2 linked regions of the Oryzias latipes genome follow. The protein of the gene in region 1 binds, or shares a complex with, the protein of each later gene. Links are inferred from orthologs where the notes say so. Each region holds a gene or a part of one and is shown on either strand. Other genes may lie near its edges.

What was found.
Region 2: flcn (region 1) and lamtor2 share a complex: the UniProt entries of both Homo sapiens proteins name them as parts of the lysosomal folliculin complex. The link is inferred for Oryzias latipes from reciprocal best matches to the Homo sapiens genes FLCN and LAMTOR2.

Annotation. Positions count from the first base shown.
Region 1 is NC_019874.2:19,455,787-19,471,273, forward strand, and holds flcn (folliculin), read right to left. Parts: upstream 9,158-15,487; 5' UTR 9,088-9,157; exon of another isoform or gene 8,970-9,087; intron 8,832-8,969; coding exon 8,619-8,831; intron 8,151-8,618; coding exon 8,004-8,150; intron 7,927-8,003; coding exon 7,705-7,926; intron 7,627-7,704; coding exon 7,460-7,626; intron 7,353-7,459; coding exon 7,261-7,352; intron 4,575-7,260; coding exon 4,414-4,574; intron 4,305-4,413; coding exon 4,191-4,304; intron 2,850-4,190; coding exon 2,726-2,849; intron 2,608-2,725; coding exon 2,482-2,607; intron 1,961-2,481; coding exon 1,858-1,960; intron 1,763-1,857; coding exon 1,555-1,762; 3' UTR 1,157-1,554; downstream 1-1,156. Other genes in the region: leng9 (leukocyte receptor cluster member 9), read left to right, coding at 9,668-9,800, 10,634-10,727, 10,944-11,065, 11,149-11,475, 11,548-11,791, 12,253-12,367, 12,448-13,110. UniProt on the Homo sapiens protein: Multi-functional protein, involved in both the cellular response to amino acid availability and in the regulation of glycolysis.
Region 2 is NC_019874.2:28,614,011-28,629,581, forward strand, and holds lamtor2 (ragulator complex protein LAMTOR2), read right to left. Parts: upstream 9,109-15,571; 5' UTR 8,963-9,108; coding exon 8,895-8,962; intron 8,279-8,894; coding exon 8,116-8,278; intron 7,166-8,115; coding exon 7,076-7,165; intron 5,161-7,075; coding exon 5,104-5,160; 3' UTR 4,884-5,103; downstream 1-4,883. Other genes in the region: uncharacterized protein LOC101171775, read left to right, coding at 12,878-13,048, 13,960-14,076, 15,035-15,091, 15,220-15,411. UniProt on the Homo sapiens protein: As part of the Ragulator complex it is involved in amino acid sensing and activation of mTORC1, a signaling complex promoting cell growth in response to growth factors, energy levels, and amino acids.

The sequences.
Region 1 (15,487 bases):
GGAGGCTTAGTCATGCAGTGGGAGCGTATGTTTTTCATTTGAATTCTCCCCCACACCTCTGCGCCTGTGAATCCTCTGGTCCTTAGCCCTCCGGGCTCATTCAGCCTAATCACAGCTATTTTTCTTTAAATAGACAGTGAATCGCATTCCTTCCCAAGCATGATTGCCACATTGCAAAGTCAGAACTTGCAAGTCATGCATGTGAGAGCTCCCATTTAGTCACTTGTGTTTAAAAAACAAAAAAAAAAAACTCAGCTTGGTGTGATGGCGATACCAAGAACTGACATCCGCTGTCATCGTTTCATCATTAACACCTTGTCCTGCTCCCTCAGGTTATGACAAGCATCATTTGGATTTCAGCAAAGTGCAAAGAAAGGGGTTAACAACTAATGACAGGAAGGACGAAGACAGTCGCTGTGCCAAAGACAAATTGTTCTTCTGAAAGTTCACGTCCAGCCATCTCTGCCGAGGAGGAAAAAGGAAGCCAGAGAATCCAGGCGGCCCTGCAGCCAACAACATAGGTCCCCTAAGTGTAATCAAAGTGAAAAACCTTGACCCGTACCATACCAGACAAATATGGATTTGTTTCTTTTCTCTGCTCATGCATAACTTACATATGTGACAGATGTTTTTAGAGACTTCTAAGTCATTCAACACGGCAAATAAAGTCCAGATTTCAGCCACAAGAGAGAAAGCAAAACATGAAGACTATTAGTCAACACATTCCTTCTAAAGAGAAAGATAGTCAACCAATTTTAGAAACTCCAATTTATCTCCTAATTTGGAATAAAAATTTGGTTTCTTTTCACTAGTACTTGCATATATGTAGATTTAAAAAAAAAAAAAAAAAACCTCGACAGAATAAAAGCCACATGCTGTCTGCAAACTTTAGAAAATCAACAGGCTTCAATAAGTTGTATGAAGAAACGAACCCCCCCTGAGATTAAGACTGCAAAATCCTGCCGATGTGGTGCTGAAGCCAGGCCTTGTTGTGCAACCGTTTAGCAGAAAAACTGAAAAGTGTTGTCTTACAACACTTGGGACTTGCTGGCCGATGGCCAGTTCAACAATTGAGCTTCTGGACAAACAGCCCCTCCTTCTGCACCCCCCTTCCCAGTATGTATTCCTCTGGTTCACCACAAGATGGAGCCAGCTGTGGAGTTACACCCACTCACCATGTGATGATTTATTTCAGCTGAAAATGTCAGAATGACTACACAGAAGTGCAAATTGCTGTAGTAATAAGTTACATTTTGCATTAAGAAATTCCCTGTGATACAAAAAAATGCTTATATATTATTTAAAATTCCTCAGCATGGTAATGTGTGCAGAGTGAGCACAATAGATTTATTCCTTAAAAAGACAATAGATGAGCAAATTCCTTCATTCACAGTCCTCTAGTTCCCTTTCATTCCAGCTAAAGGTGCTGAACAGTAACAAAGAAAAGACTTATGCATGCTTCGTTTAGCATTTAGATGTTGCTTTCACTTTTCCTTTTTTTTCTGAGCTCCCCGTTTTTCGCCCCTTCACCGGCTCCTCCTCCTCCTCTCTTTGTCACTGGCTGAGGCTCCTCTCCCCTCCTCGTACTGCTGTCATTAAATGGCTCTTGTAGAGTTTACTGAGTCCTGTCATCCAGTACTTGAGCAGTCTGACGTTCTCCTCCTCGCCGGGCCCCGTGGCGCCGAGAACAGCCAGAACCCTCTGGGTGTCCTCCCTCCCTCGGCCGTCCACTTTGGAGAACTTGAACAGCACTTTGACCTTACTGAAAGAGAGAAAATTCACAATAGGGTTCACTAAAGAGCAGGGGGGAAAAAATCTGTCTTTAACTGACACCAAGTCTGCCTCAGTAGGACTCACTTCATCCACTCCTCCTTCAAACAAAGCAGGCAGTGAGACACGACGTCCACAGACAAGTTCTCGTTTGACAGGGCGGCCTCCAGCTTGTTTAATAAAGTTGGACCTGAGAGGAAAAAAGAAACACATTTCTGTTTACAGAACAGGTTTGGATTAAAGCTGGGACAGCGATGAAGCCAACCACCTAATAGGTAGTTTCTAACGGGAATTTAAACCTTGTTATTTTATTATGTAATTCGAAAAAGGTGTTTTGTTTTAATGAAATGCTGCGGTGAAGTCCCACTAAAAAATGAAAACATAAAACCAAAGACATACTGTATTTTTTTCTCTGCTGGGCACAACAGGCATTATAAGCTTCTCTTCAAGCTCATAATTTATAGCAGCGCTTCAGTGAAAAAGTATAGGATTACAAAACAAAACAAGCCCGGAAGCCTCAGCAGTCATCTGCATTTCCCATCTCTGCTGTTTTCAAGCTACACATATAACCCAATTAATATTTATTTATAAGAGTTTCTAAAAGAATAGAACATTTAGAATCTTTCAGAGCAGCTGGGACATGAATTCTTCCTCCCAAAACGCATCAGTGACCACATATGTGCAAGCATTATTGCCGGTGTGAGCACTCACCTCTGTCTGTTGGCTGTGTGCTGGCACTGCTGATGCTGAAGTGATTGAAAGCGGAGATGTCATCTTCGCCTGCAGCAGACGTGGCATGGCTCCTCTCTGAGGTCACGTCCACCAGCACAGAAAACTCTTAGGGAAGGTAAAAAAGTAAAAGAGTAAAACAAAAAGATCCCAGAAAATTCCTCCAAAGCAAAATCGAACAATATGTGGGTGTGGGGTTTCCCGGCGACACGAGGAGATGTGGTACCTGAGGAGCTGACGTGTGCTGGAATGGGAACATCGGGGCTGAGACCCAGGAAGTTGCATTTGTAGGCCTCCTCATACCGATCGCTGTACGCCACCGAGCGCACACAGCCGACTGGCAGCAACGTCTAGAAGAACCACAGACAGACATTAAAATCAGTTTGATGTCTTATGCCATTTTAAAAGCATTCCAAAATTCAAAAACTTGTTTCGTTTTCTAGGTCATAATTGCAGTAGTTCTGAGTTGTGGGATGTAGCAAGGTCACCCCACTTCCCGTCGCCCATCTGGTTACATGTTATCCTGCTAGCTTATGGCCCCTCACAACCCCAACCTAACGTTACCGATGCAACAAAAATGGGAAGCCATATTGCAGCTATCCAGTCATACAGTTTCGAGCCAAATAGTAGCTTGGATGAGGAAAATGAAGACACAAACGTGGATCTATCTGTCTGCAAGTGGATGCATCAGAATGGAGCTTGTGACCCGTCCAATGTAGCTTTTTTTAAATACAAGCTTTTTCAAGCGGCATTTAGTTCATCTGCTCCTGATTCACAACGATTTAAATAAAGAAATACTTAGAAATGCAATTTTAAGTTTATTTCTCCTTGTAGTTGTCCTCCAACATCAGACACATGCCAGAAAAACATGTTAAAAACACAAAAAACATGATTTTCATCAGAGTGAGTTTTTAAGCACTGCTGTTCATGTTGTACCCGAATGGAGGGTGTTTGGCTGTTCCATCCTCTCTACCACTAAAGAAAGAACAGCATCATAACACAGGCAGGACAAAAGGCTTGCTAATTCAACACTGAGCACAAATCCAACAGTATAGCAAAATGGAAATAAAGATCTTAAGAGGGGAATCAAACTGAGCAGATATGAGCCTGTCATCTTTTCTCTTAAGCTTTTTGTTAAGAAAAAACTACGAGATGCCAAACCTTCCGCTTCTATATTGGGATGGGGCAGTTAGACAGACGTGTTCCCTAAAGGAACTGAAGAGTTGCAATACTTAACTTACCATGTTAAGAGAATATGAGGCAGGAAAAAAAGTTCAGAGCTCTGGTGAAAAGGTCGAATGATGTTGATAAAAGGAATTATTTTAAAGTGCAGGAAAATACGAGTGATTTTCCATTTCCTCGTTTTCATAATTTGTTTCATTTTAAATAAATGTAGATTCAGTTTTTGTTTTTTATACTACTAGATACAATAAATAATAAAACATGACCATTTAATTACCATCAAACTGGAGGCTAATGTATCTTTTCATTTGTGTTGAACTTTGTTTTTAACAAAAACATTAGCTTAAAATTCATAAAAGTAAGTGGAAAAAACAGATTTTTTTTAAAAGATGTGACTATGACTCAACTGCATTATCACCTAGCTGAATGAATGAGGGACCTTGGTTTTAATCAGTTTTATTTGCATTAAAATATAAAATAATATTTCAGGGCAGAAAGGGGTTGGGCACCTTTAGGACAGTAAAGGCTGACTGGATGAGCACAGGGTCTGCTCCTCTCCAAATGACCTGATTTCCCATGAGCACATGCCACGCTAGCTGTCGAAAGTCAGCCGCCCCTAAAACCTGTAAAGAAAAAAAAGCACCAACTTATGGATACAATACGGAAGAACTCCATTTTTCTATACTTCCTTCTGTTTTATATGTGATGGCTGCAATATGTAGAGGACTTTACCTGTCTTAAATGCCTAAGTGACCTAAACTTTGGACCAGGTAGCTGCTCTAGCTTTGAATCGTCACACAGGAAGTCGAGGCCCAGCTGGCTTGCCGAGTGGTAAAGCTGCGACTCGGATCCACCTCCTTCTGCTCCCTCCCAGCAGCTCATTTCTTCTTGCTCTTTAAAGATGACATCAAGAGAGACGTTCCAAATATGTTTAAAGTTGAAGGAAACGGTTACTAAGGGATTTTTCACGTCACCTTTACACTTTTCATGTGATTTGCACAAGATTCAACTTGTTCTTCAACATGACATCATCTCATCTCTTGGGCATGACTAACTGCAACAGCTGACTTTGAGTAAAATACAGCTTTAAATCATTTAAGGCAAAAACATTTACTTAAATAAAAAATCCAACTGGTATCTCTACTACTATCTACTAAAGTACCTGTACATCCCAAAAACCACAGGATAAGAAAGAAGTCCTCCTGAGAAAAGTTATTTTTTTAGTCACAGTACTTCCTTCATATTTATCCCTAATCACCGGCACTGTTATTCCTTAAAAGACTTTACCCACCTCTGAAGAGTGCAATCTCCTCAAACCAACTATAGAAATGACTGTTTAGACATAAATATTAAAGTAGAAGGATAAAACAGATAAGGAAACAGATAAAAGACTATCTTAAAAGGAAGGTATTTTATTAACTCTTTGGAACGTAGGGCCTAAATCTCAGTTTTTGTCTACTTTCGAATTTGCCTTTGTATTTTCAATTTGAAAGACTATTTGATTGCTTGTCTAACCTCAGCTATGTGGCACTAACTTTATTTAGTCATTTTTCCATGTTTTAAGTCACACACTAGACAGGAAATCATACAAAAATGGAAAATTCCATCTGGAAAAAAGTGCTTACATTTGCTGTGGAAACCTCAAAAATGTTCAATGAAACTGTTTTTAGAAATTAAAATGAAACTTTGAAGTGTAATTTTAAAACAAATTACAACAAATGTTGTTAAAAATAAGAAAACAGCAGAGAAAATCAAAAGTTGTGCTGCATAAGAAGCTTATTTAAGCTGTCAAGTAAGATGAGTCACTAGTTCATCACAAGGTTTTGTCTTGGGTGGATTAATTCTGAACCTGACAGATGCATACCACTAGATTTGCTCTGTGTTTGATATTAGGTTGTGGAATTCAAATTCCTTGTTTCCTAAGGTCTGGGTCTAGACTCGGGTACTTTCCTGTAAATCCTTTAATCGCACTTTAACTCCTCACCATAAATATGCAAACCCTCTCTGGAAAGGAAGTGGATTCAAGTACAAAGGTGCAGTGTTTTTTTTTTGTTTTGTTTTTTTCTGGTCAAAGACTGTGACCCAGTGATTCTCAAAACGAATTTCCGACCAATGATACAAAACAGCTGCAAACTGCACAATCTTATAAATTCATCTAATGTCAAGAAACCTAATTTCTCCTGTGGACAAAAAAAATATTTATCCTTTTTTATTAGGTAGATTTGTTTTAATGCCTACCCAGCTCACAAATAACATTACACTGCAAAAACGCAAAATCTTACCAAGTATTACTGTCTAGTATTTATTTTGAAGATCTTATTACACTAGATCAGGGGTCATTAACATGAGCCAAATGTGGCTCTTTAATCCCTATTTTGTGGCTTTTTGGCTTTGAAGAAAAACGGTTACAATTTATATAAATAAAGAGTTTTAGTTCTTGTTGATTTGTTTTGGTTATTTTGGTCACTTAGGTTTAGATTTTTAATACATGTCCAGGTGCTGCTCAGAGACAATGTTCTTAAATTATATAAAGTCCAACTGCATTTACATATATAGATTTGTAAAAACAATTGGATTCTACGTCATTATCATGTATTGAATAGTGAAATGAAATAAACAGGATGAAGGTATACCACAGTCATAATAACAGAAAGCACCATGTTTGACTTGACTTTCTTGCATTTTAATTTAAGTAAATCTGCTGCAGCAGGGGGGGTTGTCATTTTATTTTGAAAGGACTTTTTAATGTGCAGCTGTCAAAAGTAAAGTGATGTAATTCTATTCTTGTACATAATTAAATCTAATTTCATAGATAAATGGCTTAATGGGCACAAAAAACATAAATAAAGTTTATTTTTGTAAAACAGTGGGACTTCTCGGTGGGTTTTGGTCAGTTTGAAGTTGGACCAAATGTCTCTTTAACCCTTAAAGGTTGCAGACCCCTGAACTAAATAAAAGACCCAATTTGTTTTAAGGCAATACATTTTGAATATCTTGTTGAGTAAGTTGATCTCGAAAACATCTCGTTTTTATATGAATATCATTAATAAAACACATTTTTTCCTCTTTATATAATATTTTTCAGTTGAAGTTTTATTTGTCTGGTGAGTGGTTTTGTTTCATATGTGTTTTTTAAATAATCCTTAATACAAATGGATCTTAAAATGTGTAATTCTAGTCTTATTTCAGGATGATTTGTTGGACTGTTGCTTGACATAAGACATATTTGGGGGGGAAGAAAAGTGTACAAATATACCTACTTTATAGGTATAAAACTTTTTTTTAAGAAAATCAGGCTTAGTTCAAGACCTAATATTTCCCATTTTAAGAGCAATAAACCTAAATATGAGTATTTATAGCTAAAGTCATCATTTAATTAGTCTTAAAAAGGGCGGGAGATCAAAACTTTTTTGAGAAATCTTACCAAGACAAATTCTACTAGTTCCATAGGCAGATTTTTTTCTTTTATAACAAGGGAAAGGCATCCTATATTTTATATATTTCTTATTTGTTTTAAGAAGGAAATCTTCTAGTGTGATCAGACACAAACAGTTTTGTAGCCCTGGACGTCATGCTTACCTGTTCGTCTTTCTATAAGCACCAGTGTGTCCTCTGTGGGGGCACCTTCAAGAAGCTTCTCCGTCAGTCGGCTCCCACAGGCTTTTAGCAACCTGCAGAAAGAAGGGTGTGAAGACCCAAATCATTATTGACAGCTGAGAAGCTACAAATCAGCCTAAAGGGGAGTAATGACAGAGTGACGCCGGGTCAACTGTCTCACCAGCTAAAAGAAGAGTGCAGGCTGGCCCAGAGATTGGGATGCTGTGTGAGAGAGGTCAGTGATCGGGCGGCGTTCCCACTTCTTTGGTGTGGAAAGACTGCGGGGGAAAATGCATTGTTGATCCGCATGGCTCGATGAGGGCAAACCCCCTGCTCACTGTCAAATACCTAATAAAAGAAAAATGTGTTCGGTCAATTAAGCTCAATACAGAATCAACAAAGGGGTTGTTTGTTTTTGTGGCCTACTTTTAGAGCTGTGCTCTGCAGGCTGTGTATGGTGAGCTTTAGGTGACGTAACAGGAAAGGCCAAGAATTGATGAGGTAGATCCTGTCCATGGCTACAATAACGATGCTGTACCAACGCTGGAATCCTCTGGCCAGGCTGTCTTTAATAAAAAAGGTGTGCGAAAACACAAACCCCTGTTGCTCGTCTCCAAAAAATATCGGTCCTTCACGTCCAGGACACACCTGAGGCAAAAACAGAGAAAACTGGGTCGGAAATTAGGGCCAAAAATGAGAGCAGACATCGTTTAAGCAAAGTTTACCTCACAGCTGAGGCTGCGTACACAGGCTTGGCGCACCATGCTAAAAAGCTGCGGCTGCCTGGGATGCTGATGGCTCAGAAATCGAATTCCTGTTTCATCATCGAAGCTCACAAAGCCAGGGTGAGATGCAGGCAGAGATCTGCATCCCTAAGAAGGTGTTAAAGAAAAAGAAAAAAACAGAAAATGACATGTGGGAAATGGATTACCAGCCGATAAGTTCTCTTTAGAGACCCACTCCAATGAAAATTATGTTTCTGTTGTTTTTAACGTGTGTTTGTGCCATTTTTCTGATGATAGAATGTATAAAGAAAATTAAGCTTCAAATTGCCTCTCTGCGTATTTCTGTATTCGTCTTCAGTCTTTGCTTTCCTCGTCCAAACTGTACGGCTGGTTAGCTCCAATATTGGTCGGCATTTTGTTGCACAGGGAATGTTAGAATGGGGGTCAATTACAGGGGCCGTAAACAAGTAAACAAACAGGCTTGCATGCAGGCTTACTACCAACCCCCCCCCCCCAACAGCACAATCATAATTAAAAGGCCACTGGGAACGTTTTGAAAATAGATGATCGGAGTGGGACTTTAAGGTCCAGGTGCCAAGAGCGTGATAAACTGACCTCACACATCTCTCCTCTAGGTGTAGTAGAGCTGTTGGCCCTCATGGTGAGACCTTCACCCTCACGGTCCCCATCTCTATCTCTGTCTCCTGGCACCGGGGTACCAGTCTGGGAGGACGGGTCTGGGGATGGGGGATGCAGGGCTTCTGTGCAGAAGAGGGTCCGGGGGCCATGGAGCTCACAGAAGTGACACAGAGCTACCAGCGCATTCATCTGAAATGGAGAACACACGAATCCATCAATAATTTAACATTCATTGCCGTTTTGACTACAAACAGATATTTACAGGTAGACTGTATGTCTCCTAACAGTTTGTGACGTTACAAGTCAATCATAGAGAGTTCTTCTTACCTTCAGCGGAGTCGAGCTAAATGCTGCTCAAAACGACTTTTATGGAACAGCCATGGCTTTTTAGTTTAAAAATACAAAAAACATGTTTCGGGTCGTTTTTTTAAACTAAAAAACTCACCAATAAGTCAACAAGTTACGCTTTTCGTTTGTCACCGGGAACTGCTAGCAAACAACAACAGAAGGGTCACATGACGCGGAGTCACGCGCTCGAGCAGAAATGATGCGTCTAAGCAAGTTTTATGTTCATTGGCACTCTTGGACCTCAAATTCTTGACGTTTGAAAATGTAAATAAATTCTCCAATTATTTTTCTTTAAAAATTTACGATTACATTCCTGAAATCAAGAATCATTTAGTCAAAAATAAGACTAGTCGATTGAACACTAACTACATTACCCATAGGTCCACTCGAGACTGAGGTCAAAGTACATTTGAGTTGGAAGTCTGCATTTTCTTACTAGTCTGCTTAAATGTCAAAATATGTGACCGTGGTTTTGATTTTTGAGTGCGTTTAAGTATATCTGCTTTTTGTAAAAACAATAATATTTCTAAAATTGTTTATTTTTAATCGCCAAAAACTAGACACTTCCGTGTGTTCCCACACACAGTAAAGAAAACCGGGTGTGTCCAGTTTATTTTTACTGACCAGTCAAAGGTAAAACTACCTCAACGAGGCAACAGGGCCCTTCATTTGTGACCATGGCGTCCCGTGGGACAGGGGCTCCCACGTTTTCACCTGAGGGCCAGGTAGATGGTGGCGGGACCCTCACAGAACCAACCAATAACCCAACTGTTGGAACAGCTGACACCCAGAAGCCCACTGATGTCGATGGTAACACCATATTTTTATGTGTTTTTAACATGTATGTACTTATTGCTGTTAATCTAATTGGTTAATCTAAATTGGTATGTTGTTCAAATCTAATTAGGATTTTAGGGGAATCAAACTCCATGCCAGATTATTATTAGTATTATTTTTTAGAAGCTATCAGCGTTCAAGTCATCAATAGCAGTGTTTCTGGGAAGGAATTTGTTCTGACAGCGTGTTTGTGTGAGCCTCTGGCCCTTTAAAAGGGAGCAGAATGCAGTGGACCCCCAGCCCCTCACTTCCTGCAGTGTTCATGTCCTGGAAACATGTCTGGGTTTTTAGCAAGTGAGTCAGGACTGAAGACTCCCACCTCCAGAGACTCCCACCTCCAGAGACGGAAAGGAATCGGTGTCTGCTCCCACTCCCACCCCTACTCCCCAACCTTAAGTCACAAGGAAATTTCCTCAGAACAGACAAACCTCCCTGCTGCTTTCAGTAAACTGTAATATCAGAAGGGAGTTTAATAACTTCAGCGTCGGGGAGAGTCAGCTTTCCCATTATTGTACGGGGGATTAGGTTATTACCACCTGTTGTTTACTCTCTGATTAGTGCACTGGAGATGAATTATGAGGTCCATGTCTATGGAAGGGTTAGAACAATCAAATATAATATCATTTATGTCAGGGCGAGGAATGCAGAGGAGCAGATTTAATCATTTGTGACGCACAGACTGATCTTTGTGTGGATGCCAAGAGCAACAATAATGACCATATGAGTTTTCAAATGAAAAATCTGATCAGTTCGTTTTTTAGTCTTGACTGCATATGTTTTCCTGTTATCTTTGCTGTGATTTGCAGACTTGGCAGAGCTGAAAAGCGATGGAGTCAAAGTGTGCCAGTTTTTCCAAAGTGGAAAATGTCGCTTTGGCCACAAATGTCGCTCCTTCCACAGGTCCGATAACCTTTATCTGTCTTTATAAAATACTATTTTTAAAGTACATATGTTTTATGTTCTGAATATCATGGTTATAAAAGCCATTTACAGATTTAAATACTACTGTTGAAATGTGTCTGCTCTATATCTTAATTTATGTGGTTCGACTCATCTGAAAGCAAGTTTTTCCCTTTTGAATTATTTCTTTTTAATGCCTTTGCCCTTATTTTTCAGTGAACCCCCACTCCACGTTTCAGCACCCATGTCCCCTGAAATCGATGACAAACAGAATGAACAAAAAACGGAAAAGCTCAAGAAGAAAAAAGGGGCAAAGCAGAAAAACAGTGAAGAAGTTGGTAGGGGCCTTCATTTTTTTATCCTAAATTTTTAGCATTCTCTCCTCTTTTTTTTTAATTTCTGAAAAACTACTCTTTTGCAGAGGTGACCAAAAAGCCACGTATGCGCACAGCAGATGACGTGATTTCTCGCATTTTGTGGGACTCGTCAGTGGATGCATCGGAGTTTGTTGTGGGGTATGTGGATCGCTTCCTTGGGGTCCTGGAGCGTCCTTTCTGTGACTTCAACTGGGACGCCAACCCCTGTGACTGCGATTACTCAGTTGAGCTGGCCTTGCCGAGACACAGGATCCAGTACTTCAGCTACAGAGGGAAACGCGTCTGGGACCGCCACAGCAGGACCGACAGGGTCTTTGGCTCCACAGGTCAATCTTTGGCTCCCCCCTTTGGAAAAGAAGAGGAAGTAAACGGTGAGTGAAGATCACAACTCTGTATGTACATCTGACAGAGATACGATGGTTGATTGGAGCCGTTTGCTTTAGCTGAAGAAAGCCCGGACCACCAAGAACAACCACAAGACAGTTGCGAAGCCGAACAGGAGCAGCCAACGACTGGCAGTGGACAGGACGAAAGAAAAACAGAAGACGGTGATCATATGAGGAGCACTGATGTGGAGGAGCTGAATGAGAGGATTTCCAGCCTCGTGTCCACACACTGTGAGGAAAACACTTCCCGAGGAGAGCAGGCGTGTCCTGGAACATGTGCTGTTGAGGATGCTCCAAACGGGTCAGTAGTTTGATCTTTTACTTGGAGAAGAGAAAACTTACTGTGCAACAATTTAATAAGATTTCCAGATTTACGGTTTCTATCCTCATCTCAATGTGTCTGAAACTGTAAATTAGAAGCATACATCAGTGGAGAACAGAGGGTCCTCCACTTTAAATCAGATCCTTCATATTGGACTGGATGAATATGCTGCTGTTTTAATATATATTTATGGGATGTCTGACCTGTAGCTGCAACCTCACTGGCTGGGAAAGAAAGTTTCAAATGCAACATGTACCTTTCTGCATTTGTCAGGAGCTCTTTGACCAGTTTGTCCCAAACACATGTAACTGGTATCTTATGTAAGAAGAGAACGGTTATTAACAACGTTCAAGTGGAATTCAAATAATTTAGATGTTATTTACATTTCTATTTGGAACACAGTTGTCTTCATTGATTCCATTTAACCAATTTAATTATAGAATCCAGGCTTTAAAAGAGCAGCAGCCGTCAAAAGGAGAAAAAGAAGAAGAAGAGGGTCAGGAGACCAATTTGGAAGAGTGGGCGGAAAGTTGGGAATGCAAAGAAGACGCTCAGGTGTGTACGGCAAAACAAACCCGATCAGAAATGCTTTCTGTTTGGATTAATCACGCTTTTCTTTGTTTTCATTCAAATAGAGTTATCCAAGAAATTTTTATATGAGCAAAGGCGCACCATCGCCTCTAGAGCAGAGGGTGGAGAAGGGTGGCGTGCGCCCACCTAAAAAACGACCCACCCACTTCATTTGCTTCCGAGCCAACACTCCCGCCGTCCTCTCCTGTTTCCAGCAGCTGCGGGAGGAGCTCGTTGCCCTTTTACCCTCCTCCGCCCCTCACTGGCAGGCCGCGTCCACGCTTCACGTTACCCTCTGCCTCCTCAACCTGCACAGCCCGGCTGAGGTGGAATCTGCCAAGGAGATTCTCCGCCACTTTTCCCGTCTGGATCGCAACCCGCCTGTTGCTGTGACCTTTCCAGTGAAGCTGAAGGATTTCAACGGGCGAGTGCTGTACCTGAGCCCCCAGCCCCAGCTGCACCTGCAGCAGCTGAACGGCGGTCTGCAGGAGGCGTACAGGCAGAAGGGCTGGCTCCACAGGGACTCCTACAACCCACGGTACCATCTCACTCTGGCCAAGTTTCACGACGTCAAGCGGGAGAGGATTTTTGACGGGGTGGGGGACCTGAAGGCAGGGAAGGGTTTGAACTTTGGCCGTCTGCCTGTGAACACCTTACACCTGTGTGCCATGAGCACCTCTGAAGCTGATGGTTTTTATGACACCCTGTGCACAGTGACCCTTCGATAATCACGCACAGATATTGCAAGTGACGCACATGCTGACACCGAATGCTGGTTTACAATCTAAGGTTTTACTAATGACCTTATTTATGGTTTTAATTGCCTTTACCTTAAAAGTTTATGTAGTTTCATAAAATCGCCCTGTAAGCAATCTAAAGTGGTATCTTGATTGGACTGGGCTTTTATTTAGATTTTAAAGGGTATAATCCTTTTATTGCTTTTTAAATGCATTTTAGACTTTTATTAAAACAAATTAAATTAAAAAGCTTTGTCCAACCTTAAAGGCCGACTCCAATCATCCTCTGATCTATTTTCAAGCATTCACAGTGTTCTCTTAATTACGATTGTCATTTTTAGCCTGTCATTTCTAGGACATAGTTTCTGCAGAGCGGCAGGAGTTTTTGTCTCTGTTGCCATGGAGCGATCCCACCCTCCTTCCCCTCCCTGCTCCGGAGGAGCTCTCTGTTTACTTGGTCTCCCGCTAGCTTACAGCCCAATGTAACATTATCAGAATCAGAATCAGAATCAGAATCAGAATCTTTTATTATCATTCTGCAGAGCACAATGAAATTTTTTCCAGCAACTCTCGATATAAAAAAGGTAGAATAAAATAAAATAAGAATAAGGAGCTATATAAGGCATAAATACTTAAATACTGTACAGTAGAGTGGGGTGAATATTGCACGAGTGGGTATTCCACATTAGAATGGATATTGCACATACAGCATGAATATTGCACACAGTTTAAAATAGAGTCAGAGCATTGTCAGCTGTGTGCTGACAGGGGTTAGTGGGTTATGTTAAGTCTGGGGGGAGGGGGCGGTTTCGTTGACCCAGTTGTGTGATGTGTGGGGGGGGTGGGGGGTGGATGGACCTCACTGCTCTTGGGAAGAAGCTGTTCCTCAGTCTGTTAGTGTGAGTTCTGATGCTCCTGTATCTCTTCCCAGAGGGAAGAGGTACAAACAGGTTATGTCCTGGGTGGGTGGGGTCTGCAACAATACGACCAGCCTTCCGTCGGACCCGGCTGTCATACACTGAGTCGAGTTGTGGGAGAGGTCCTCCCACAATCTCCTGTGCGGTTTTCACCACCCGGGCCAAGTCCTTCCTGTCCTGAGCGGTGCAGCTCCCGTACCACACCGTAGCACTCAGACAGAGGATGCTCTCTATGGTTGCCTTGTAGAAGTTCCCCAGAAGTTGTGATGAAAGTCCAGTCCTTTTAAGCTTCCTGAGAAAGAAGAGTCTCTGCTGAGCCTTCTTCACCAGGTGGGATGTGTGCAGCGACCAGGTGAGGTCAGATGTGATGTGGATTCCCAGGAACTTGATGTGGTCCACCTGCTCCACCTCCTCCCCGTTAATGAGGAGGGGGGTGTGTGCCACCTTTCTAGTCCTTCTAAAATCCACAATGATCTCTTTGGTCTTGGAGGTGTTCAGGATGAGGTTGTTGTCAGCACACCATCCTGTCAGGTGCTGAACTTCCTCTCTGTAGTGAGTCTCATCATTGTTGGATATGAGACCTACTACGGTGGTGTCGTCGGCGAACTTTAAAACCAGATTTGTGGAATGAATAGCGGAGCAGTCGTGGGTGAACAGAGTGAAGAGGGCGGGGCTGAGGACACACCCCTGTGGTGTTCCTGTGCTCAGGATCAGAGTGGATGATGTTGAGTCCCCGATTCTCACCACTTGGGGCCTGTTGGTGAGAAAGTCTTTGATCCAGAGGCACAGGGAGGCAGGCAGACCCAGGTTGTGGAGCTTCAGTGTCAGCTTGTCCGGGATCACTGTGTTGAAGGCTGAACTGAAGTCCACAAATAACATCCTGACATAGGTGTCAGGATGCTCCAGGTGGGACAGGGTAGCATGCAGGGCTAGTGATACTGCGTCCTCTGTCGATCGGTTCTCCCTGTAAGCGAACTGATGACTGTCCAGAGTAGCAGGGATGATGTCCTTGATGTGGTTCAGGATGATCCTCTCAAAGCACTTCATGATCACCGGTGTCAGAGCGACCGGCCGGTAATCATTGAGGCACGAGACGGATGATTTTTTTGGCACCGGCACGATGATGGAGGACTTGAGGCACACGGGAACATCGCTTATCGCTGTAACAAAAAGCGCGAGCAGTTATTGAGCCATCCAGTCTTACAGTTTTGAGCCAACTCAGAGGAGGAGGAAGACGAAGACTCACATTGATCTTCTTCTCTCGCCTGTTATTCCTGGTTGGGACATAGGCCGCAAACAAGAGCTCTCCAGGCAGACCGGTCTTGGGGGAGATCTTCCTGTCTGTCCCCACTTTTTCCCCATGCTATTGGCCCCTGCTTCCAGATCTCGGCGCCCCCTCCTTGTCTTTTTCCTTGGAGAATCCATGTCAGGGCCTGCCTTGAAGTGCTGGA
Region 2 (15,571 bases), about 9.2 Mb from region 1:
AGGGTCCACTGCCACCCTGCTCAGGCCTGACATGGTCCCAGCTGAGATGCTACTGGAACCCACAGCTGTCAAGCTACGAACTGTGACCGGGGACTTGACTCCCATGCTTGGCCGGGGGACAGCGAACATTCGAGTGGGTGGCATGACGGTGGATTGTAAGGTGTGGGTTGCAGCTGTGCAGGATCAGTGCATATTGGGCTTGGACTTTTTGAGAGCAGCCCGATGTGTGTTGGACCTAGGGGGTAATACCCTGGAGTTCCCTGGGGGGCCTAAGGTGCCCATGGTCCGACCCATTCGGGCCCAGTGCTTACCCCGAGAGACATCAAGGGCGGTAGAGATGCAACAGGACCTGTCCCCGCCCTACTCTATTCCGCTGCCCACCACTCCTCAACCTAAGATCGAGACGCAGCCACTGCCCTCAGATCAGCGGAACGCAGTGGTTGAGGCTGACAGAGTGACAGCTGTGAAGGAGATCTGGAGGCGCAGCTGTGATGGGTTGCAGCCGGGACAGAAGGATGAACTGTGGAAGGTGCTGTTGGAGTATAGAGACATTTTTGCACTTTCTGAGGATGAGGTGGGGCTGACACACCTAGTTCATCATGAGATCGATACTGGAGATGCCCGCCCGATTAAAACACGCCCCCGCCGCCTCCCCCTTGCCCACCAAGTGGCTGCTGACAGTGCGATTGAGGAAATGCTGCGTGGCGGCATCATCGAGCCGTCAGACAGCCCCTGGGCTTCAGGGGTTGTAATGGTCAAGAAAAAGAAGGGTCCGAAAATGCGGTTCTGCGTGGACTACAGGCCGCTGAATGGGGTGACCAAGAAGGACTCGTACCCGCTGCCCCGCATAGATGAGTCTCTGGACTTGGTGTCTGGCTCATCTTGGTTCTCCTCATTGGACCTGCGCAGTGGATATTGGCAGGTGCCACTCAGCCCCGCAGCCAGACCAAAGACTGCTTTCTGCACCGGGAGAGGGTTGTGGCAGTTCCGCGTGCTCAGTTTTGGCCTGTGCAACGCTCCTGCCACGTTCGAGCGCCTGATGGAGAAGGTGCTGGCCTCCATCCCCCGTCAGGAATGTTTGGTCTACTTGGATGACATTCTGGTACACGGGGGGTCTTTCAAGGCTGCGCTGGAATCGCTGAGGAAAGTCCTGCAGAGGATTGCTGCAGCAGGTCTGAAGCTGCACCCTGACAAGTGCTGCTTCATGAGAAGAGAACTGGAGTTTTTGGGTCACAAGATTGGGGGCGAGGGCATCAGCACTTTGGAGGAGAAAGTGCAAGCTGTGAGAGACTGGCCAACGCCCACCACTCTAAGAGACTTGAAGAGCTTCCTGGGGTTAGCCTCCTATTATAGGCGGTTTGTTCGCGGGTTTTCCTGCATTGCTGCCCCTCTGTTTCACCTGCAGAGGAAGGACTGTGACTTTGTTTGGACGCAGGAGTGTGAGCAGGCTTTCAGCTCTTTGAAGAAGGCTCTGACAAACTCTCCTATCCTGACCCCCCCAGATCCCAAATTACCCTTCATTCTGGATACGGACGCCAGTGATGTGGGAATGGGGGCCGTGCTGAGCCAGATGGGGTCAGCAGGAGAGAGGGTGGTGGCTTACTTCAGCAAGACCCTCAGTAAAGCGGAGCGGCGCTACTGTGTGACTCGCAGGGAGCTCCTGGCTGTTGTCAAAGCCATAGGCCATTTCAGATACTATCTGTGCGGCCTCCCCTTCACAGTCCGGACAGACCACTCTGCTCTGCAGTGGCTGATGACCTTCAAGGAGCCAGAAGGTCAAATCGCTCGCTGGCTGGAGGAGCTGGCTTCATTCTCCTTCACAGTGGAGCATAGACCGGGCTCCCGCCATGCTAATGCTGACGCCATGTCTCGACGCCCCTGTGCCCTGGCAGGCTGCCAGTACTGTGAGAAAAGGGAGGCTCGGGAAGCAGTAATCAGCAGAGAGGAGCAGAGCCACACCGGTGAAAGCAGCTGGCCAGTTTGCAGACTGGTGCAGGGTGTGGACTCCACTGAATGGAGAGCGCATCAGGAGCAGGATGTTGACCTGCAACCAGTGCTGCAGTGGGTGGAGGCCGGCCGCAAACCTGAGTGGGGGGAGGTGGCAGGGTGCTCCCCCGGCTCCAAAGGACTCTTCGAAAAGTTTGATGCTTTGAGACTGAAGGATGGAGTACTTCAGAGGGCCTGGAAAGAGCCGGCTACCGGAGAAGAACGGTGGCAGGTGGTGGTCCCTCGTACGCTGAGAAACTCAGTCCTCCAAGGTTGCCATGGAGCTGCAGGGTCTGGACACTTTGGCGTGTCAAAGACCCTCCGTCGCATCCGCCAGGGGTTCTACTGGGGCCAGCTTAGGAGGGATGTGGAAGACTTTTGCCGCCGCTGTGACATCTGTACAGCGCATAAAGGCCCCCCTGATCGGTCCCGCGCTGAGCTCCAGCAGCTGGCAGCAGGGGCACCAATGGAGAGAGTAGCAGTGGACATCATGGGCCCGTTTCCACGCACAAACAGAGGTAACCGATTTGTTCTGGTTGCCATGGACTACTTTACAAAATGGCCGGAAGCATATGCCATCCCAGACCAGGAAGCAGTGACTGTTGCAGATGCCCTGGTGGAGGGCATGTTTTCTAGGTTTGGCGCTGCTGAGGTCATTCACAGTGACCAAGGGAGGAACTTTGAGTCTGCTGTGTTTTCCGCCATGTGTGAGCGTTTGGGCATGCGGAAGACACGGACCACCCCCTTACACCCCCAAAGTGATGGCTTGGTTGAACGTTTTAACAGGACCCTGGTGAAGCAACTAGCCATCCTCACCTCAGCACACCAGAGCGACTGGGACGAGCATCTTCCACTCGTTTTGATGGCATACAGGTCTGCAGTGCAGGACTCCACCTTATGCACACCTGCTTTGCTCATGTTGGGACGAGAGCTACGCACGCCAGCAGAAATGTCTTTTGGGAAACCCCCTGATGCCCTGGGAGCTCCGCCTGGACCTGAATATGCCAGGAAGCTGCAGGACAGAATGGACACGGCTCATGCCTTTGCCCGCAATCAACTAGAGAAAGCCGGCATAAGGCAGAAGAGGAACTACGACCTGAGGGCCAAAGGCAAAGACTTCAAGGCAGGAGACCTGGTGTGGGTGTACAACCCGAAAAGGAAAAAGGGTAGATGCCCTAAGTTGGACTGTCAGTGGGTGGGGCCCTGTGAGGTGCTGGAAAAGCTGGGAGAAGTGGTTTATAGGGTTGAGCTCCCACCTGGAGGAAGGCGTGTGACCCTCCACAGGGACAGACTGGCTCCGTATAGGGGTGATGCACGGCCACAGCAGTACTTTGGGAGGTCGTTGCCCCCCTCAGCTACCCCCACCCATGCTAGGGCTGGCCCCCCCGCCAATTCCCCACATGCACCCCCACAGCAGCAGGTGGTCTCGGGACATCACATGGCGCCATCCGTGCCGGCTCCACGGAGGCCCAGGAGATTGAGACAGCCTCCCCCCCACCTCCGTGACTTTGTGTGTGACCCCACGGGACGTGGGACTTTGTAGGGGGGAGGCAGTGTAGCGACTAACGTTTTTGGGACTCTGTTAATGTGTTCTGGGTTACATCGTTGCTCCAGTGTGATTGGATGAGCGGGAGAATGGGCGGAGGAGCAGACAATAAAGGAGGGGTCGTGGGTGCACGAGGGGGTTGGGGGAGGATGGATGCTTTGATGGAAAGTTCTGATTATCGTTGTGCTGTATTTGGCGTGGTTACGGCCGACAGTAACTGTTCCTAAGTCATTAAAAAGCCTCACGGTTAGAAACGGTCGCCTCCGCTTCATTATTGCGTCAGTGGGACGCTACAGTATTAACAAAGGAAACAGACGCCAAGAGTCAGGTAGGAATTCCACGAGGAGAGCTGGAAACAGACAACCCTTCTGCTCCGAACCGCTCTTCCTCAGGGTGACTGTTCCAGCCTCGCACTTTTATTTAGGTCTCTCTAGTTACACCATGAGTGAATTATCTATACGTCACACGGTGGTTGTCAGTAATTTTCTGCTGTAATCACAGGAAGTTCTGTCTTTCATGATCAAATTATCTCACATTCCAGATGCTTCTTTCCTTTCTGCTGAAGTGATCACTTTTCTGAAATGGCACACGGAAGGATTCCAACCCAAACAACTTTATTTATGTAAGAAAAAACACAGAACACAAAAACTGTCTTAAAAACAGAAGTTTGAATAATAAAAAAAATATATACATTAAACACCGAGAAAAATTACAAATGAGAATTGTTACTCTGAATTTAAAAGAATGTAATCAGAATTGAAAACTGAGCTACTTTCTGATCAAATTCTGCCGTTTTGATCAAATAAAAAGTTTTCACTAATAAATGATTCTGTCATCAATATTTATACAGAGACACTGCCGGATAAAAAACCAAAGGTTGCTTTGGATTTTTCTGTTTTGCTCAACAGTAGAGGAACGACTCCTCCTGCTGGCCGTGGACTTGAACCAGCAACCCCACAGCAGCAGGTTCATGTCACTAACCTGAGTTACTGGGAGGGTGAAGGAGTGAGAGTGAAGTGAATGGAGAGGATGACTGCAGCTCAGAACCAACCGCTGAGGTTATAAACAAAGTGAAAATAAGTCTGAAGTTTTAAAAGGCTCCCTTTGTTTTATTTCTTCTTTTTCATGCTCACCTGTTTTGTTACACCTGTCCTCTAAAGCTGCAGCTGGATTTTCCATGATTCAAGTGAAAAGACTGAATCATGAAATGAAACAAACATGTTTATTGTTTCTCATCTGGAAAATAAAAATCCATCAATTCTTCCTTCAAAGAGCAAAGAGATGTTTTTAAAAAGTATTTCTTGACTTTTAGCTTTTTAAAATCTGGTTTAAAGATAACAGGAAACACGTCCAACTTTTAAACCAACATTTTTATTAACCTTCAAAATAAAAGCATGATAATTGTAAATGCAGAAAAGCACGATTTTCCAAAGTTCTGCCAGAATCCAAAATGATCCGTTTCTGAGCAGCAGGGGGCAGAATGGAGGACATTTTGGAGAGACTCACACCCACACAGATGAAAAGCAGAAAGTTACAGAAGTCCGCAAAGGCCTCAGATCAAGCACTCTTCACTACGATGCCGCCACCTGAGTCAGCGGCTCCTCCAGGTATTGCACCAGCGCCTCCGCCTGCAAGCACACACACGGTCACAGAAGGCGGGTTCAGGTGGGGAACCAGAAGCTCATCCCGGCGGGTGTTCGTATTTCCAACCCGACTTTGAGAGCTGCACAGATCATTGTGCATGAGAGCCAAGGTTAATCTGGGGAATATGGCCTCTTCAAAGACTAAAGATAAAGTTTAAAAGCTTTTAAAAAGAAAGCTTTTCCCTCAATCTGTCATTTTTTCATTGCTCTTTTCCTCTTCTCTGATTGTTCTTCTGCAGGTGTTTGAAAAAGTGATGTCAATCAGGGATTGTAATGTTTCTATTATCATTATTAGGATAAACTGGATTATGAAAAATATAAAAAAAAAACTCAGTAAGGGTGGGTTTATATAAATCTGCTCCTTCCTGCCCCTTTAAAGAATAAATCAAGTTCTACTTGACTGTAGTTAATTATCACTATATGTAATCAATCAAACGTGACCTAAATGCGTCTTTGTTTAATCAATGCATTTCATTCTTTCTGTGATGACCTTGATAAATCAGAGATATTTTAGGACTGACATGCAGGAAACCAGGGTTCGCTTCACAGAGCTGGGAATTAACAAGCAAGCAATTGAATTGGTGAGCAGTAAACACCAGTGAGTGAGGGCCCTTGGGTAAGACCCTTAACGCTACCAGCATGAATGTGCATGAATGATCCCAGTGATGGTCCGAGGGACCGTAGGCGCGAACCAACTATGAATGAAGAGTGAATGAATAATGGACACATTTGAAGCGCTTTGAGTGTCTGGAAAAGCACAGATAAATCCAATCTATTATTATTATTAATTCAATTAAGGCTTGAAATAAACCAATAAGTCAAATCAAAATGAAATTACCGTTATATATATATTTTTAACATTACAGATAAATACTCTACTAGAAGTCGGCACTTCCTGAATGGATCAGGACGTTTTATTGTCGTAAAGCGGAGCAGGAATACGCCACCAGGAGGCGCACAAACACAGTTCGGGAAAGTTAACCAGTTGTTCACAGATTCAGACTTCCTGACACAATAAGTACGGTATATCAAACATTTTATACTGACAGCAAGTGTCTATATTGGCTCATCTTAACTTACCAACGACTTACAAAGACTGTAAATAGTAAATAAATAAAAATTGCTCTTTTTTTCATTCTTTTCAAGAGAATGAAACTGATGGTGGGCTGATAAGGGACCGCCTACAAAGTGCAAGTTCTGGGAAAAATAGACCAAGATAAATAAATACATAATAATAATAATAATAATAATAATAATAATAAAAATACTAACGATTAGTCAATGGTTCTGTTGAAAGTCACAAATACTCATCATAATTATGCTACAACGATGAATTTGGAAATTGATTATTTGATATTATAACAGGGAAATGAATCACATCTGATCAAAAATGTTCAACAGTTCTGAAGATGTTAAGGCTACAGTCACCAAACTTTCTCATAGGGCTAATTAACCTATTTTGACTAGTTAACTATTAACAAGTTTGTACTAGTTTATAGTTAACTATTTTTTCTATTTGATAATTGCATTACTTTTCCTTGATTGTTGAAGATACTTCCCAGAAGTGCTCTGTTTACGTGTAAAATGCTAAAAGAAGCTTAATAAAATTTTAAAAATTTGGAAAATGTTGATCTGTTTATTAAGTTTGTCATTTTTTTTTGGATGTGCTACGACAGTAACAGATCGGAACTCGGTATCGGCAGCAACTCCAAATCCAATAACTTGGAATCGGAATTTGATCTGAAATATGCTTCACTTCCACTAAACTACATAGAGGAGAGTGAATGAATAAACGAGTGAATAAATGTCCTTGGTTGAACTGAACTTGTGGGGTCAGGAATCGGGACTCGTTGAGGAACCACAGCTGATGAAGACCCATGTGAGGAAGCAGCGCCCTCACCTTTGCTTTCAGCATCCCGAAGCCCACCGTCTCTTTGGCGTACATGCAAAGCAGCAGGTTAGCCACATGCGTTATGGCCACTCTCCCTTCCTGAGAAAAAAAAAAAAAGCCTTTTTATTGGTCGAGTCCAAAGACTAAAAGTCACTTTTCTTTACAGGTTGTAACTTCCAATCATAAATCCACTAAGTCAGATGGATTTCTCACAGAACACTGCTTTGCTGTTAGTTTGCGATGCTCAGATTTACGACAGTATTTATGTAAGCCTGACCTTCACTCAGTTCAGCAGCTCTCAGCTAATGTGCAGACATGAATTATTACTGAATAAGGGGCGATGAGGCGCAAATCGAACTGAATCACAGGTTTGAAAGAATGGATCTCAGCTTTTTTTATGCGACCAAATGCAGCAGGTTTCCCCTCCATCTACAGAGCAAGACTCTCCACAAAGCCCCTCCTCCTAAGGCAGAGTGGGGGTTTTACTGTGTGGATTCGCTGATTTTCGGGAATTAAGTTAAACATTTTGCCTCAGAGCTGGAAGTTAGAAATAAGAAAATCATCTGGTTGTTTGCATGAGCGAAGATTATTTATGTATCATGAGAAAAATGATGCAGGACGTTGACACGTTTGACTTGAGCAATGTTTACAAAACTGTAGAGCGGGGCAAAAAAAAATGGGCAAGGAGTACAAGGAGTGTGTGTTTGGTGTCTTCCTGTGGTGCTATTGGTATCAAGAGCCAGCTCCTTCCATATCTGAAGGTTTGCTCAAGTCCCATTATTCATATTTTGTACAACATTAAAAGAGCCATTTGGTCCCGTTTGAAACAGACCAGACTGAACAGGTGCCACCATGTATGCATGCTAAAGCAAAACTACAAACACATTATTTTATTTAAATAATACACATTTTTTCTTTAAAGTCACAATGGAGGGGGAAAAAAAACAGCTGTGATGCCTCAAATTGCAGACCCCTTCAGAGATGTTGGGGCATTCATAGAATCTAACTTCAACAAAAGGGCTGAAGGAAAACAAGGAGAAAGTTCCCACCATGCAGTCCATGAGGATGAACTTGAGTTTGTCCTCGTTGAAGGCCTGGTGGCCGTTCTTGTCGTAGGCGGCCCAGATGTTGCTGGCGATGGCAGCGGTCACTCGAGCGTCTGTGTCGCCGTAACCGGAGTACGCCAGGAGGGAGCCTTCGTTGTTCAGTAGGCTGCTCGCACAGAGAGACGGTTGTTCATTACACACAAAAACAACACAATGATGAAAAGTTACAGTGACAAAGTTTTAAGACAAACGCCATTCCGTTTTCAAACCATGAAAACCAAGTAATTTTGTCAGGAGGTCTCCAGGACAGAAATTGATCGATTGATGCAAAATGGCTAAAACGATGAACAGATCTATATCAAACAGATCTACATCAAACATTACAGATTACTTATTTTCCCACACCACTTTTTAAATGTAAATCGATTTTTTTTGCTTTTTTTCTACCTGATAATGATATTTTGTACCCTGAACAGACTTTCTAAGCAAAAATAAAAACGAACCAAATATATTTTAAAAAGACTCTTATTTTGAAATCAAAATTCAACTGCTTGAAATTCGTGTAAAACTGTATTTGATTTAACAGCGGAAAACAAATCTTGAAAAAATATATTTGTATTTATTGCAATAAATAATGAAAATGTAAAAGTAGTATTAAGTTGGTGAAGTAATAATTATATAAACGTGTCGTTTCAGGGGAGCTTTAAGAGTTCTAAGGAGCTAGACGCAAACAAACCGCTGCTAGCTAGCTGGATGTTAGCCTGCTAGCTCGCGGTACTCACAGGGTGCTCTGGACGCCGTTCGTGTTCGCCTGGCTGAGAACTTGCGTCAGCGCTTTGGGTCGCAACATGGCCGACCTCTCTCAGGAGAAAAAACCCAGAAAAATGATCTGACTGAATAAACACGGGGCTTAAAAAAGAAGAGAGAACTGCTCAATAACAGAGCAAAGTCAGCTGACTCGATTCTTCTTCTGTTTCCTTTTCCGGTACATTTAGAGATGCATCATGGGAATTGCAGTTATATCCAAATACATGTTTCCTATTTATATTTATTATGTTTTTCTTTAAACTTTATTTTTAAATTTTTAATTATTCCTGATTTTTTCACAAATCTTTTTGTTTTAAATTACTTTCCCATGTAGTCTGTAAACATTTTTGAGAACTGGAATATGGCCATTCATTCATCTTCCTCCGTTTTGTCCATTTCTGGGTCACGGGGCTGCTGGAGCCTATCCCGGCCACTTGTGGGTGAAGGCAGGGGACACCCTGGACAGATTGCCAGTCTGTCGCAGGGCCACAATCACACTCCCATTCACACTCACACCTATTAGAGCTGCTAGAATATGACCAGTTCTTTGGAAATGTATCATGGGAAATATAGTTTGCTTCAGTGAACGACGAAAACTTCACCTCCTTGATTCATCTCCTTTGTCATATTTAGAGTTTTTATCTCAAAGATTTTATGCTTCAAAGAAGTGTACTTTTTATTCTACTTCAACCAAAGAAGTGTTATTTAAATCTTTTGACACTCCTCCTTACAGTAAAGGTTAGTCTGCTTTGAGGTTTTTATTGTCTGCTGGCTTCCTGGTGGGAGGACATGTTTGCGCAAAGTGTTTGGCAGAATCGTTTCCCTCCTGCCCTTTGGACATCAGAAAAAGTGATCGGGCCGAGGATATTATTGTTTTTTTTTTGTCTGTAAGAAGAGGATTTTGTTCTAAGAGGTAAATCTGTTGTGTTTGAGTGGACACACTTATAAAAAAGACACAAACCAATCATTTGTATAAACAAAAGTTGATTTGATTCCATGCTGTAACTGCTATGGTACATGAGTGCATGGTTAATATGTATTCTCTGATATGTGTTTTGGTAAAATTATAGTCACACAAGTGCATCCGTTTACAGTTTTGTTTATACCGTCAACCATTGAAAGCTACAGACGTGGTGTAAAATCAGAGAGGATGTAGTCTCATTTTGGCAGAAGGAAATAAACACATTTCCTTCTAGATATGTGACAAAAAAGTTAACTCTTTAAATTTATAGTAAAACTCTTTGAGGTCATTCTGACACCTCTGAAGTTTAGATGAAAGGTCAAAAAATCAGTTTTTTCTATTCTAGTCTCTGCAACTGAAAGGACAAATGATGATGACGAATAAAAGTGTCTTTTGGAGAAAAGAAATTACAAAAAAAATCTAATCAGTATGTACAGTGTGGCTGCAAGAAAGGCTAAATATCACCAATTTTAAAAAGAGTATGAATTTGCAAAACTTTGAGTGAATACTAATACACCTTTATAAAATGGCAGAAAATACATTTTATTTCATTATCAGAACATTAACCCTTGTGCTATCATAGGCACTTTAACACAGAGAGTTAGGTCATGTAGACCCACTAGAAGTGCTCTGAACCTTTTTTCTTCAATGATTTGTGATCTTCACTGGTGTCCATGGATTACATGAAATCTTTCCACCTTTATCCACCTTTGTCATGGCAGGGAGAACACGTCAATGTAAGGGTGGGGTCATCTAAGATAACACAAGGGTTAAGGCCATGTCACACATTTTGCTTAAGTTCTGTCTTTTGTGAAACATATGTGATAAACGTAATTCATTCATTTGTCAATGGGCACAGATCTGTAGAGGATTTCGGCCAACGACTCTTTGCGTGAGTCTGGTTTTGAGCGGTTTTGAAATTTTGCAGTTTATGCGTAGTTTACATAGCTTAAGGCCTGTTCACACCGGGACAAATTTCGTCGGCGAATTTAACGCCTCGTGACTAAACAAAGGGCACCAATGAGAGTGTGCACACCGACGCGAAAAAACGCCACGCGTCAAAGCGTAAAAAAAAAAAGCGCCTCGGGTTCGTTTTTTTTTTTCGACGCGTCGCGTCGAAATCTACTGGACCAATGAGAATGGCGCTTTTGCACACGTGTCTGGAGCTTCTGAAGTGACAGTAAAACACAACTTGGGGGCGCTCAAACACAAAACTGCCTTGCTGAGCACACATACCAGCGAAGAAGATAGACGCCAAATAGCGTCTACACTGCCACGAAGAAATAATGACGGACATTCTAAAATATCCCCGAACCAAGCACCAGTTGGAGCTACTGGTGCTTGAAATATTCATGTTTTCTTTGTTTGATTCTGACAATCGCGTAAATACTTGCTCTCTTCTTCTGAGTGAAAAGCGACTTTAAGAAGCATAAAGTTGCGCAGCGCCACCTTGTGTACAGGAGTATTTCTGTTTACATTAAGCGCCATCTAACGTCAGGGAATGAAATTGCATGTTGGCTCGGCTCATTGTCAGCGAAAATCGCCTGGGTGTGAACACAAAAAACATGGCGAAAAACGCTGGCGAATAACGCCTGGCGAATATTCGTCCCGGTGTGTACGGGCCTTTACACACAATTATTAAGTAAATCTTAAGCAATTGTGTGAGATTTATGCGAGTCGCATACACATTTTTGACTTTCCATGACCGTTCCACGTATGTGTAACAGACGTTTCATGCATATACTGTTGATGTAAACCTTTAACTTTGCGTATACGGCGCACATATCATGTTCAAATTACGTAAATTCATGTTCTATGTAGATTTACGTGTTCTTTGCGTGGTTTATTCTTACATCTTCCATTGTACATCTGTGGTTCATTTGTACATCTGTGAAAATTTCATGTAAAGACGTATATTCACATATGAACAATTTTCACCTGTGCACAAAATGTACGTAGTGGCTGTGTGACACAGACTGCGAACAAGTTGCTTTACCAAAGCAAATTCATGGTGCTTTTCTTTAGATAAATTATGGAATATTTTTTCAACACAGTATTGTTTGGTTTGTTAACAGGATATTTTTTATTAAAAAAAAAAACAAAGCTGAAAGGTGCCTTAACCAGTAAGCATGATTAAGAAAATAAAGTGCTACACATTTCCAAAACTGCTTTATTGAACTATATGATGATGATGATAGATTAAAAGATCAAAGAAACAAATTTGCCTATTTCAGGTTAAACTGAGCATCATTGAGCTGTGGAACAACATCTGCCGCCTCACTGAAGAGTAAACATCTACTATGAGACGGTTCTCATTAGATCTTATTAGAGAGCTGCTAAATGAGGCGTTTTGTGGTGCACTGCCAACTAGTGGTTAACTGTATATGAGAACTGGATTGAGTGACCCCTCTCCCTGTTGTTCCAAACAGGAAGTGTTTGGAACCTAAATCCCATAAACTTCTTTAGACTTCTCAGTCAATCTATTGGTCAGAAGGACTTCTGATAAACTTTGATAATCCTATTTTTGTCTTGATACATTTTCTATTGTTAAAGGTATTCAAATTATAGATGCCTCAAGCAAAGTAAGGGGAGCCTGCTGGCACCCATGTCGAACGTTTAAAACGTTTGATTGACATGTTTTGTGTAGTCCACTTTAAAATGGTAGAGGTGTGACCTCCCAACATTACTAAGTCCTGATTTCAGAGAGTGGTTGCCATAGAAACGTTGACTCCGCTCAATTTGAACAAATCACAGCTCAACTCACAACATCTGGCTCCAACATGGATAGCACAGGCCAGGAAGTGAACTATTTTCTATGAGTGACGTCACGCTCACTCATTCCAGTTCTCACATACAATCAATGGGTTAAAGTGGAACACAAAAGTAAGACGCTGAGCTAAATGTTTGCTTAAAATTTGTTTTTTAAACATTGTTACTGACCAATAAAATATCGCAATTTTTCACATAATTGATATTTTTCCTACATCCGCAGACAGGATGTCTGTGATGATGACCAAAGGTGAAGGGGTCACAGTGATCACCCTGAACTCCGACCCCAGCAGTTCCTGCCCCCCCATCTGCCAGATCCTCAAAGGTCTTTGCTACAGCCCGGCGTTGTGCTCTGTGTCTCAGCCGCTGAAGAAGAAAGCGTCTCTGTCCATCCTTGGGGTGAGTCCTGGTTTGTTTTACTCTAATGTAAAAACGACAAAGTGACATCACAGCCAACAACACTGTCAGAAGTCAGAGCTCTGTCTCCCTCTCTGGTCACCAGTGGGAACCATCTCCAGAGTTCTAACCACACTTCCTGGATGCCACACACCCGACTCTCATTCACTCATCAACCACAGCATAGTTAAGCTCTGCCCTGAGCCTCACTCAGTGAGAAGTATCGTTTGTGCTGCTCTGCCTTCCTTACCGAGCGTTGTAGTTGGACCGGATCCTCTGTCTCCTGACCCGGTTTCTGACTCTGTTTGCCTGCCGCCTGCCCCGACTCTCGCCTGGATCCTGACTACCCTGTCTCTCCTCGGATTATCTCATATCTGCCTGACCATGATTTAGCTTCGTGGACTTTTAGCTGAGCTAATAAACCTGCTGCATTTGGATCCAGCTGTCTGCCTGTTCTTGTGACAAACACACACGTGATGTCAGCAGAAACTGATCAGTCCATCATTCCAGTCCAATGTGTGGAAACACTGAATTTAGCAAAGTCATGTGACCATACAGTGTGCTAGAACGTTCTAACAATGTTCCTTTTGGATTCTATGGATGTGGAAAAACAACAGTGGGCTGAACTTTAGGAGAATGTTTTGCAGTTTGTCACAAACTGTTCTAGAGTCCTATTTGACATTTAAAGTTCTGGTTAATGAAGCTAAACCTACAAAAACTGTGAAGTTTTCAGTCATATTTGTGCCTTCATAATTTGGAGTAATAACACATTCTTCAGGAAGACCTTATCTTAATCTGGATATTTTCTATTATTTTAGATGTTTTGTTTGTGATGTTTGAAATCCATGACAGAAAACTGCAAACAACACGATGAGGTTTTTGCAGAACACTGAGTTCCTGTGTCTCTCTTACAGGCTATGCAGATTATGATTGGGCTCCTTAACATCGGCCCTGGATTAATCCTCCGCACGAGTCAGCTCACTGCGTGGTATCTAAATATGACAGAGTTTCCTATTTGGTTGGGAGCTTTGGTAAGATACCTGCATAACAACTGGATTTCATTCATGAACTGAAGAATGCTGAAAGCAAAATCCCAGAACTTAATTCCTCATCTGAAGGAGTTGACGTGAGAATGCGTGGTTGCTATGGTGACAACGCTGTAAACAATTGATGCTGAACATTGTGCAAGTTAAAGACAAAATTAGATGAATAATGGATTTGATAATGAAATATGACAGACAAAAGAAAAAAACAAGACATGTAGATATTTGAGAAGAAACTCAACATTACTGCAAATCCTAAATCAATCAATAAATGACCAGAATAAATTGTAAACCAGCTCTAATGACACAAAAAAGTTCAAAAGGTCAAATTATGATAAAATAAATCTTTAGTTTAGCTATTAAAGAAGGTAGGAAGTACAAGAACCTAAAAAAGTCTGATTTTACTGCCAAGAAGGAGGTACAGGATAAAAAATAAAATGCTGTATTATTTGTTAATTGATAATGGAGTTATAAACAATAAAACAAAAAAAAAAGCTAAGATTGTTAAATTTACAAGAAGAATATTTTAAATAGCACTTTTAAAGCCAGTTGATCTCAAACGTATGATGCAGGACTTCTGAAAGGACTATAAATTAGGATGAAGAATGACAGAAAATGGCTAGGGCTCAGGGTTATATGCATAACTTGTATGTTATGTATTATACTGATCATTGATGACAATGCTAAGTGCTAATATTTATTTGAAGCAGATCCTTTATTTTGATTCAAATTCTAAATAAGTTATGGTTATAAACAGTTATGCATTATAATGGATACATATAAAAATGAAATATGCATGAAAGCCAAAAGATACCGTGAAGTGATGAAGGTGAAATAAAAAATAAAACAATAATTTAAAATTTGTATAAATTCAGAATTAGAAAATATGCTAGCATATTCATTTTAAACACCACAGGACATGATGAACCTTTCCTTTTTTTTCTAGTTCATTGCATTTGGCTTCATGTGCATTTTATCGGAGAGGTTTCCAAGTCGGTGTTTGGTGAGCAGTTTTCTACTTTCTTAGTTATTTATTCTTTTCAAATTGGGAGCAAAAAAAGCTCTGCATGTCTTCACTAAAGCAGTACCGTGTTTCATGTTCAACTGTGTAAACCCGTTTTGGGTTCACAGGTGGTCCTTAACGTCATCGTGAGCGTAGCAGGAGTTGCTTTGTCCATCACAGCCATCGTTCTCTACAGCATCTACATAGCAACCATGGAACCCTGGGGCTGCGACTATGGGTACTATCGCTACCCAACCCCTGCCACAGTGACCCAAACACCGCTGCAGGAGAAGTGTAACGAGATCCAACAGCTGACACTGGTCAGTTATGCAGCTGGACGTCTTTCATTTTCTACTAACCTCCTTTCTACCTTTAAACCCGGGCTGTCAAACTCCAATTACCCCAGGGGCACTGGAGACAGAGTCTGGGGCCACATCAGGAATTTAAAGCAAGACATTTACTGAGGTCTCAAGCCTAAAT